Drosophila melanogaster: one gene and its partner. The protein of the gene in region 2 purifies or fractionates together with the protein of the main gene of each other region. This does not show direct contact. Each region holds a gene or a part of one and is shown on either strand. Other genes may lie near its edges.

The links.
Region 1: the proteins of psidin (region 2) and Naa20A purify together in Drosophila melanogaster (affinity purification with western blotting; 2 studies listed by BioGRID, with this or other methods). This does not show direct contact.

The regions. Positions count from the first base shown.
Region 1 is NC_004354.4:19,620,951-19,625,006, reverse strand, and holds Naa20A (N(alpha)-acetyltransferase 20 A), read left to right. Parts: upstream 1-1,932; 5' UTR 1,933-2,041; coding exon 2,042-2,094; intron 2,095-2,162; coding exon 2,163-2,278; intron 2,279-2,340; coding exon 2,341-2,470; intron 2,471-2,535; coding exon 2,536-2,672; intron 2,673-2,742; coding exon 2,743-2,804; coding exon of another isoform or gene 2,805-2,834; exon of another isoform or gene 2,835-3,239; intron 3,240-3,342; exon of another isoform or gene 3,343-3,356; coding exon 3,357-3,401; 3' UTR 3,402-3,556; downstream 3,557-4,056. Other genes in the region: MKP-4 (MAPK phosphatase 4), read right to left, coding at 376-479, 545-1,227, 1,293-1,392, 1,459-1,590, 1,653-1,797; CG14221 (uncharacterized protein), read left to right, coding at 3,889-3,979, 4,050-4,056.
Region 2 is NT_033777.3:20,019,883-20,027,063, reverse strand, and holds psidin (phagocyte signaling impaired), read right to left. Parts: upstream 5,361-7,181; 5' UTR 5,011-5,360; coding exon 4,950-5,010; intron 4,861-4,949; coding exon 4,636-4,860; intron 3,708-4,635; coding exon 3,215-3,707; intron 3,150-3,214; coding exon 2,750-3,149; intron 2,685-2,749; coding exon 1,401-2,684; intron 1,338-1,400; coding exon 1,139-1,337; intron 1,079-1,138; coding exon 894-1,078; 3' UTR 582-893; downstream 1-581. Other genes in the region: CG4424 (uncharacterized protein), read left to right, coding at 1-12, 123-233, 299-437; PIG-L (phosphatidylinositol glycan anchor biosynthesis class L), read left to right, coding at 6,182-6,716.

The DNA of each region.
Region 1 (4,056 bases), on a different chromosome or scaffold from region 2:
GTAAACCTGGCAATCAGTTTATATCCGATACGAGATCGGATTCCCAAGAGGGAACTAACTAAGCTAACTGCTTGCGTTTCAAAAATCTCAGCTTGGTGGAGGAGCTATTCAGCAATGGGACCAATTAACTTATGTTTCAACAGCGTAACCGAAGCCCAACTTCTCCAATGACCCATAGAAACATAACTTAATGCCCATATATGTATATATGTAGGACATCAATGTTGGCCAGCACTGATAAGCACTGATCAATCAATCCAAGCCTCCATTGCTTTTTGTTTAGGTGGGCGATTGCCGTTCTTTGCCAGCCGACAAGGGAGTCCAATTGTCCCGTCTCTGATGATGCCATCTCGCTCTATTTCCAGCACGCTGCACCTAAACCGTGGTCTGCACGTTCTGCACGGCCTTCGAGAGCTCCACCTTGGAAGGTATCAGATAAAATGCAGGCGTCATCGTCTCCCCGCACGGACACTTGCAGGCTGCAATAAATTAGGAGGAATGAGTGGGGGGCGGGATTATCGGCTGGTGGAGCAGCATAGCCAACCGTTGATCCAGCTAAAGTTTCCCAATTTCTGCTCGCACTTGGGACAGTACAGGCGGCCCTGGGTGTTCAGCATGATGCGGTGCATCCAGGCGATGGGCTCCACAAACAGTATGCTGCGGCAATAGTTTGGCGTGCTTTCGTGGCCGGGTGAACCGAGTGATGACTGGCGGATGCGCTCGGACAGCTGCTCCAGCATGCGAGCACCATGATGATTTTCGGCCTGATCATGTGACTGAGCCGGCAGCTTAGCTGCAGCGACTTCTTCTTTCTCCTTGGGTACCACCTCCTGCGGCGGCCTGTCACGCGGCTTGTGCTCCAGTACATGCGACTTGGAGGCGAGGACGCGGCGGCAACGACGACAGCGGAACACTATGGGCTCCGGGTTCTCGCGCGTTATATCTGGATCCGGACGGACCACGCTGTGGAAGCTTTGCGGCAGGATCTTGGCCTTGCGCATCTGCTCGCCAGCCAGGCGCAGGCGATGGATCTTGTAGCGCTGGCAGTTGGGGTCAATCTTGCAGCCCATGCGCCGGAAGAGCTTTAGTTGGCTGACAAAGCCAGCGTTTGGCTGGACGAAGCGCCGTTTGGCCTTGACCAGCTCGTAGGCGGGCAGGAAGTCCAGATTGTGTCGCTTCATCATGTAAGCGATCACAGTGGATGAGCTGCGACTGACGCCGAAGTAGCTGTTGGAAGGCACAAAGAGTCAGTGGCCAAATCGTGGGCCGGTCAGCCTAGGTAAGATGCTCACCAGTGCACAAGGACATTGCCCTGCTGGGCCAGGGCCGAGCTGATAAAGTCAACGCAGCCCTCCAGATGCTGCAGAATATCTTCGCGCGGCATGTCGGCAACTGAAACAGGGATTAACGCCAGTGAAGTTGTTGCACATTCACGAAGCTACCGATCTGTGTGCTTACTCTGTATATATTTGGTGGTCAGAAAGCTGGCCTCCAGAATGTGCTGCGGCAGCGGGACCGAATCCAGCGTGAGGATGTGGGTGATCTTGAAGGAGCGCAGCGTCTCCATGTGCGTCGCCGCGGTCAGGTTGCCTGGTGGTGTAAGGAAGGGTTGAGAAATGCATCGATCACAAGGATTAGAGCTATATGCTTACCTAGAAACAGGCCTGTGTCCACCTCGTCGATGCTGACCGGTCCGCCGTCGAAGTCCTCGCGCGTCAGCACCCCGGAGTCCTGGGCCTTGCCACCCCCCGCGGAGGACGAAGGCCACGCCTGCCGTTGAGACTGAGACTGTTCCATGGCCAGGCAACAGATACCAGCTGGAGGCAGAGGAAGAAGAAGAGCGAGGACAGGACCTAGCGTGGAAATGGAAGTGCTAGTAGTGTGACCGCGGCTGCATTGCGCGGTAACCGATTTGTGGGAAAGCTCGCTTCCAGGCTATCGATAACTTGCCATCGACCGCGGCGCATCTCTATTGCCGGCGAGTATAGCAATTTTATAGGAGCAATAAAAAGGATCGGATTAGCCGAGATTAAGTGATAAGATGACCACGTTGCGACCCTTCACCTGCGACGACCTCTTTAAGTTCAACAATGTGTGAGTACAGTGGATATCCACATGCGCATATCCGAGGCTAATACCAATACCGCCGTGTGCTCCGCCAGAAACTTTGACCCACTTACGGAGACCTACGGGCTGTCCTTCTACACCCAGTACCTGGCCAAGTGGCCGGAGTACTTTCAGCTTGCGGAGTCGCCCAGCGGACAAATAATGGGCTACAGTAAGTACTGCATTTCACTGTGTGCACGAGTTCCCCTATCAAGTGTGCTCTACATTCTCTAGTCATGGGCAAGGTGGAGGGACACCTGGACAACTGGCACGGACACGTGACTGCGCTGACCGTCTCGCCCGACTACCGGCGCCTTGGTCTGGCTGCGCTGCTCATGAGTTTCCTGGAGGACATTTCGGAGAAGTAATTCCAGCCCCAATTCGTTGGATATCAATACAGACTAAACGACTACTTTTTCTCGCCCCCAGAAAGCGAGCATACTTTGTGGATCTTTTTGTGAGGAAGAGCAACCAGGTGGCAATAAACATGTACACGAACCTTGGCTACATCATATACCGCACCATACTTGAGTACTACTCCGGCGACCAGGACGAGGATGCGTACGGTGAGAGCGCACAGAATTTGCATTGACTTCTAAGAGGCGCCTAACAATCGATGCTTTACCCACTTTGCAGACATGAGAAAGGCCTTATCCAGGGACGTCAACAAAAAGTCGGTCATACCGTACACGCAGCCTGTACGACTGGAACATATAGATATGAATTGATACGATATCAACCCAGTAGCGCCCGAAAACGCATTTATGTCTAACTAATCCCGATCCACCATTTGAAATGGGCGCGAGCGCATCACTTCGCAGCCCATTGAATTCTAGTTAATTTAGCAATGTAAATAACCCATAATCCCGTGATCTGCCCGGTGATAACATGCGATTCGATTATGACCGGATTCCCATCCCGCTTGCGAACCAATCCCCCGGCGCCAGTATTTGCGTGCATTATTTCCCAACCGAAACTAAGCCTGTAATTAAGTTACATGACCGCTCCGTTACCAAATTCAGCACAAATTCTCGATAATTCTATTGACTTTGAAATTATTTAAAGATTTCGTAAGCCGATGCGTAAATAACCACAAACACAAAGATTGTTCCACAGTTCTGAAGGTAAATAACGTAAGCAACTTGATTACTTCATCATCGTAAATGACAACCAGTATCTAACGCCAACGCTATGACCACCCATCTAGCCCGCACACGATCCTCTGACCATATCCAGTTTTTTTTTTGCAGATCACAATGCGCGAGCTGCGCAGACAAATGCGACACGATCACTAAGTGGAACGATTCGCGGCGGATGTGGGCATAGCCACAGCCATCGCCATCGCCATCGCCATGTGCTTTATCGACCGATTCCCATTTACTAATGTGCTGCTGCATAGAAAACCATTTTGAGAATAAAAAGAAAATAAACCCCCTGGCATATAAAGTTCAATCTGTATTTGATTGATTGATTGGAGGAAAGCTGACTTTCAACACACCTTATAATAATGTCCTTGTGGTGATGTCCTTTTTTTTAGTGCTAGCAGAAGGATAGAAAAGTTTTCGGGTTTATAATAAATACCCTGTATTATATGGGTAGCTTCCTAGCTCGACTCAGCAGCTCCTGCGCATTTGTTACCCCATTTGGGAACTGGGATTGTTGATTGATTGATTGTGCCAAAATACTGAGTGACCTTTTAAGTCCTGGCAACCACTGTTTGATCAATAGCTGGTTGGGTGTTTAGTTCGGTATCTGATTGATGGCCCATTCAGTGCGCAAAAAATGGCGAAGAAGGGAGGAGTCCAGCAGCTTCAGGCCGACCTCGCCTCGGATGAGGAGTTCGAGAAGTTCCTGCAGCGATCCGGATTGCTGGGTACGTTCTCGATGCGATGGTTAGCCATTAGTCCACCCAGTAATCTCGCTCTAATCCCTGAGTGCTTCAGTGCTCGA
Region 2 (7,181 bases):
TAAGCATGAAAGGTAAGCAAAGAATACATAATTATTCCAGTAAAAACATTTCTGTATCTTTTGGAACCTCTATTAATTAACTACAAGTAGAGACTAGCTAATTAATTGTATTTCCTCCACAGAACCCATCGAAATGAGCGTCCTTATGCCTGCAAGACCTGCGGAAAGAAGTTCACATATGCCAGTGTCCTTAAAATGCACTACAAGACGCACACGGGCGAAAAACCCCACATGTAAGTGGTTTCGGTTTTAAACTAAATCAAACCTAAAACTTATCACGTTGCTATTATTACTTCAGATGCCAACTCTGCAACAAAAGCTTCGCTCGCATTCACAATCTCGTGGCGCATCTGCAAACGCAACAGCATATAAATGATCCACGACTGACTGCCTATCTAAGTACCTTTAAAGTGGGGATTACTGTAGCTAATGCTTAATAATATAATATTTATAAGATCGCGACATTTTACCTTTGCTTAAAGCCTAAAACTTTGTATATACGACCTTTGTTATATAAAGTTTGCTAGAAAGATTTCATGAAACTAACTAAAAAGCATTCTAAAAAAAAAAACAAACTGTTTACATTTTTACAATTTATTCTTTTACTTGACTTACTTGCAAAGCGGTACGCAATCTTTTTTCTTTGTTTTGTTCTTTTCTAATTTTTGTTTTACAAAATTTTACAACTTTTATGTGTTGTACGAGGGAAATGCCGAAAAGTGATTGATAAGTGCTGACTTGGCGCTGGTGTTCGAGATAATTGTAGTGTAGGAGGATTATGAGGTCGGTTGTATCCGTTAACAAAATTAAATAACAAACTATGAACTTGGATTGTGTGGGGGCAACGATGACCGGACTGGCTGGCTGATGGCCTTTGCACAGCAAAGAAGCATCTACTTGGCCACCATGCGTATCTTGTCCTTCAGCAGATTGCGCAGCTCGGTGACCATCAGCTCGTGCGAGTCCTTAAAGGTGGCCGAAACGTCGCCGATGAGCGTGGCTTCCACCTCCGGCTTCAGCGACATGTCAGACATAAAGGAGCTGAGGTCGCGTGGCAAAACGGGCGCCTTCCAGGAGCCTAAGGATTGCAGAATCATACCTTAGTTTATCTTTGGGCGATTTGTCTAGAGCCACTTACGTATGGCCGTGTCGCAGGCCTCAAACTTGTGCTTCAGCTGTCGCATCAGCTCCTGCAACATCTGGCTGCGCTCCTTCTCGCTGATCGGCTGCGGTCCATCCACCTTGTTTTCCACCGGCTTCTTCTTGGTCTTGGTCTTTGAGCTTACCTGCAGCTTGTCGTTCAACACGGACAGAAGGAAGGCGTACAGCGATAGCATCTGGAAAAGTTATAAGAACATTGGTGAATTTAAGATTACCTGCTTTTACTACCAACATTTTACCTCTAAACTGGCTGCCACTTTCTGCTGCTGACCTCGCCGCTTCCACAGACCGTCAATGCCGTTGCTTTCGTTGCTCTCGTTGATGGTCTGCACGCACAGCTCCATAGTCGCAATAACATTGTCACCCACCCGCTTGCACTGCTCGGCCAGCTTTGCCGACCCGCTCTGCAAGTCAAGGACCAACTGGGCAAGGTCGTCAAAGAAACGTTCGTATGGCATGTCGAGCAGCAGGTGAAGACGTGTGGGCAGCAGATTGACTAGAAATTTTTGCGCCAACGGCTTGTAGTTCATCACGCGCAATCTCTGGAATAATCCCGTCCAGGACTCCCGCAGGAGCTCCAAGGTGGCCGTCTCTGCTCCCGCTGGCGAATCCTTTAAGCCCGCGCCGTGGTACAAGTCGATGAAAGAGGCAAAGAGTCGAAGCATCAGCGAACGTACTTGAAGCACCTCAACTTCCTGGTCGAACGACTCCCTGCGCTCCTCCGCAGCGTCTACCTCATGTAGCGGATCCCATCGGATAATGGCCCCTAAGTCGCGATTGTCGCTCAACTCATGCCAAGCGATCCGGTCCTCCGCCGGCTCAATACTCATCGCCACATATGCGGATAGATTCTGCGTGATATTGCCATAGCAACTAACCAAGTCACAGATCTGCGCCTCCACCGAGCAGGCCACGTACTGCAAGCTGTTGGTTAACCGCTCCTTGAAGTTCATGAACTCCTCCATTTTTGAAAACGTGCAAAAGCGATATGTTAACGCAATGTATTCCAGCCTTTCCTTATAGCTGTTCGTAAAAAACTTTAGGGTGGCATCGTACACGTTACGATTGCCCGAGAAGCGACCTCCAAGAGCCAACAGTTGGCAGTGCACATAGCCCATGGAGTCCAGCTGAATCTGCTTAATGTCCAGATACTCATACATCTCCTGTGCGCCCACTTGGCAGCCAAACAGATGGTAGATCTTTAGACTTAGCAGTTTCACGTGGAAGTTACTCGTACTGTTTCGCAGAACATACTGCAGCAGGCACAGCGCCTCGAACAGGTGATCCGACTTATTTTCCCGCCTACTCAGATCGTACATTACATTTGCCGCCAGCAGTGCGTATGCATCCGATGGTCCCATTTCCGTAGCCAGCAACTTCTTACCGAAAGTAGTCCTGCCGTGCTCGTAGTGCAGCTTGAGCGCCGTATAGAAGGCAAGCAGGTGGTCCGCAGGCAGATCCATGTGGGATCCGCACATTCGAGAGATTTGCAGAGCGCAAAGATGTTTTTGCAACTGCTCTTTCTACAATAATCATATACCAACAATCGTTAGACTCAAAGTTGAATTTATAATTTTTGCGTACTTACATTTTTTGGAAGCGACGTGGAGGTTACTCCGCTCTCCAACAACAACTTGCTGGCTAGCGCTTGCCTCTGGTTCATGCTGATCGAAGGCAAGAACAAGGCGATATCGTGAGTGCAGCACGATTTGTCGCCGAACAGACGGAAGTACTCAATGACCATCTCGTCAAAGTCACCGATTAGTTTTTCCGCCGGCAATTGCTCCGCTCGCATGCGTTGGTGTAGCTCCAACCGCGCCAGATAGGGTCCCCTTTTCTTGCGCTCCGAGGAGTCAATGATGCGCTGAAGGAACTCCTGACACCTGGCCAGAGAGTCCTTATCCCCGTTCTCCACGCCCTGCGGCGTAAGTTTTAGCAGCTCGAACGAGCTTTGGATATACTCCTTGTAGAAGTCCCAACGATCACGACTTGGGGATAAAAAATAAAACTTAGAAAACGTAGTTATACATATGAACTTATTGTTTAAGCTCACTCTGCGTCCAGCAGCTGCTGCAGCAGCTCATTCAATTCCCGCCAGTTTCCCAGCTCCTTGAGCAGCTCGAACTTCATGCTGACTGGAGCACCGGGGTACAGCTTCGCGCACAGCTCACCAGTAAGGAATTCCCACGCCTCCTGGTACTTGTTTTGTAGCTTAAGTATGTGCAGATAGAGGAAGGCCTCCTGTTCCGTCTCCATTTTGCCCTCCTTGATGTGCTTGTCGACCATGCGTTGCGCCAGTCCCAAGTAGATTTTCCGCTTCTCGGGCAGCGCCGATTCCGGTCCACGGATTCCCTGGAAGACTACGCTGATCACCGACCAAAAGTAGTAGGCATTTTTCGGCTGCGCCTTGTACAGCTGCAGGGCCACCGCCTGCTGCGCCTTGTAGTCCTCCACCCTCACATGTGAGATGAAGAGGTGGGCGAGGAGCTCCTCGTTGCCCGGATTCTGCTTCACAGCGTGCTGGTACAGCTCCACAATTTTGTCCACTGCAAAGAGGCCGATATTTATATATTATTAGCGATTTCAACTTTCGCAGGTACAGGTATCTATATATTCAGATCGTTGGCACGCACTTGCCACTCGTCGTCCGACTAAGAGAATGCGATTTTAATTAGTCGGGCGAGGTGCGCGTGCCAAGAAAATACGAAAATATGAATTGTGGCCACTTCGTGTGCGTAGCAGGGGCGTCTCTAGGGGATTCACAGATGTGGCTAAGAAACATTCTTACTTAAAAATGTTGCTTTGTATTCGTCAATCGAATTTAAAAAAGCTCAACAAATTGTATCCTTTGATCGACCATGGTTTCGTATTTAAATAACTTAAGTAAATATTAATATTATCTTTAAATCTATACTTTAAAATATTTTGTATATACATATACATACATATACAAGCATTTAACTCATGGATAAGGAAGCTATTCTTTTTATAAAATTTCAATTCTAGAATGCCTGTAACCTTTACACATTTGAAAGGAGAAATCTAAATCCTTAATTATTATCTATACATACAATGAGTCCTTGCCTCACACAGGCATTTCGTTTTTAGATTTAAAATTGGATATTAACTTACAAAAGGTTCTTCATAACTTAAAAGTGTGCTTCACAAGTCAAATTCATAAATGAAACTAATAATTTATAGCCTATCAGGAGCTACTTGTGAACAAATTAGTTATTTCTGATGGCTGGTGCCCTTCTTCATCGCGTTAGAACGAGAGACTAGGTTCGTGCTTTAAGAGTTTATGGCTAGTTGGTTATATCATACTCCTAAATAACTTCTACTTGAGGTAATGTACCTCCTAGACCATGCTTAGTACGTTATCAATCTTGCATTTGACTGAACCTAATCCCCAGCAAACGGTGGCTCCACGTGGGCTCAGTACATCAGCCCTGCCGGTGGTTTACCCATACGTACGTTGTTCCATTTCGCGGTAGCAGAAGGACAGCACCTGCAGCGTGGAGTCGTCCGTGGGCTTCTCCTCGGCAACGGTCTGGAGGCATCCGTGGCTTTCGTCATAGCGTCCCAGTCGCAGGAGCGAGAGGCCTTTCAATGCCCGCGCGCAGAGCAGGTTGGGATGTTTGCGTAGCAACTTCTCGGATTCCTGCAGAGCCTTGCGATTGTTGCCCACCTCCAGGTTGTCTGCAAAGGATTGGGATGTTAGTCTGTGAGACTGTGGACCCGGCACATGGAGCGCCTCATTCCGCCGTGGACACGGACAACACACTCACCGTATACCGGCCGCAGTCGCCGCTCGAACAGGGCCGAGTCCATGCCCTGCTGCTGTGCCATGTTATCGTGTTATGTGGTGCTGCTGTATGCTGCTAACCTAATTACAACGTGCTGCATGCACCTCGAACTGAGACTCGCTCTCTTTTGGGTTTTGCGGCACGCTGTCGTCTGCCGTTGATTAATTTCCTGCAATCGTTTGGGGGCTCTCCTTGGGTTGCCCTCGGTGTTTGGGCGGTCGGGGACGGGCGGCTGGCTCTCGGGCACTCGAATCACACGGTCGTAGGCTAATTATGTGCTTATTTTCATAGAAACTAGTGACTTTAAATTTTATTCAAAATAAAAAAAACCTCAGACTGCATATTCGGTGAGAAGAGAGCGGCCCCTGTATTTTCTCCAGTATTTTCTGGTATTTTTCGAGAAGAGCATGCCGACATTAGGGGTCTTCGCTCAAATCACAAATTTAAGCCATCAAGATACTCTTATTGGGAAACTTTTAAAATTCCATTCAATCATTCTGCTTAGAATTTTAAGGTTAGAATATGTCTTGTACAAAAGTGAATTTCTAATAGTAGTTTTTAGTAATTTTGTTATTATCTATGATCAACAAAGTATTGATATTCTTCAAAAAGTAGAAATGTTCATAACTGTAATTCTTTATATTTCAGATTAAGTTTTCAAAAAAAACTTAAGATTTTATAAAAACAGTGACAAGAGTACCCCTACCGCTGGGCACTTTGTCCAACAGCTGAGCGATAGAGATGGACTGATATATTCTCACGAATGGTAGCTTGCCAGCGAACGATGAATGGCAGAAAAGAGTTTATCAATTTATTCGAGTGCCAATTAGATAATTTAAGCTTTGTAGTTGCACGGCGCACCGGACAGGTTGATTAGAAATCGTGAATGAGTCAGCGTGAGTCACGCACCTGCCACGCACCACGCCAGTTGCCCATCTCTAGCTGCTGCCCCCGAAAGTCGAAAACGCGTAAAGTTTTCGAATAAAATGCAGAGATTAGCCGATTAGGCGGCGCGCGGGCTCGTAACCAAACGTTTTGAAGTATTAAACTACCGATTAAGAAACACATCCACTTAGTGAAATAGTTTAAGTAACCGCCCGAGCACCGTTATCGCCGCTTTTCCGCTTTTCCTCGCTGCCAAATTGCGCTGCATGTCCATTTTTGGTGAAGAATTTCTCGCCAAAAATCTTGCCCTTGGCCGGACGCAATGAGCGATGAGATTTAACTGGCTGAGCGAGTACGTGGCCAGCATATCAAGCAGCATTGCATCGACATCCCCGTGGCGCCAACTGCAGCAGCAGGTGCAGCAGCTCGTCCCCAATCCTCAGGCCATCTACTGCCGTATCAGGTCATCATCCGCCGAAGCACTGGAGCACGTACTGATCGCCTGTGCGGTGTACTTGCTAGTATGCCTGGGCCTCTACAAGCTCACCTTCTGGCTCTCGGGAGCCGGATCGGGATCGGGACTGGACGCCCACCACAACGGCAACGACACCAGCAATGCCGGGTCGGGCGAGGGGGCAGAGCTGAACCCAAGTTCGGATGGCAATCGGAGTCCTGGCGGCCTGAAGCAGGCCCTTCAGTCCGGAATACGGCTGCGTAGCGTCCGGCTGCCCAAAACGGCGTGCATGGAGCGCGTCCTGCTGATCACCGCCCATCCGGATGACGAGTGCATGTTCTTCGGACCGCTGATCTACTCGCTGACGCAGCGCCAAGGCTGCCAGGTGTATATACTCTGCTTGTCCAACGGTGAGACCACCAGCAGTGACATCATCCCCAAACCACCAATAGATCTGGAAGCATTAAACGAAAGTACACATTTCGAAATCAGTAGCGAATCTGACTTAGCTTTATTGCTGCCATATGGGCACAGCATTCTCTTTGTGTTAGCCAACAATCGATTTCGTGCAATATATGTAGTCCGTATTGGAATTTTTAATAATCTTTAAATGTTATATATTCCTGCCCATTCTACTGTTATTATTTTAATTATTGCAAAGATTCAGGGGCTACACCGATGTTATCTTTTTATAGATAATAAAAAATAATACCGAGCTGATAGTAATGTAGGGCCGATTTGTATATTTCTTTCTTTAAAATTTAGATATTCATTTAAAAATCAACTATTAATCCTTTCAATATAATAACGTACTGATTCGGAATAATTGTATGACTTCTTAATCATCAATTACTATTTAAGTTTCGCTAAATAAC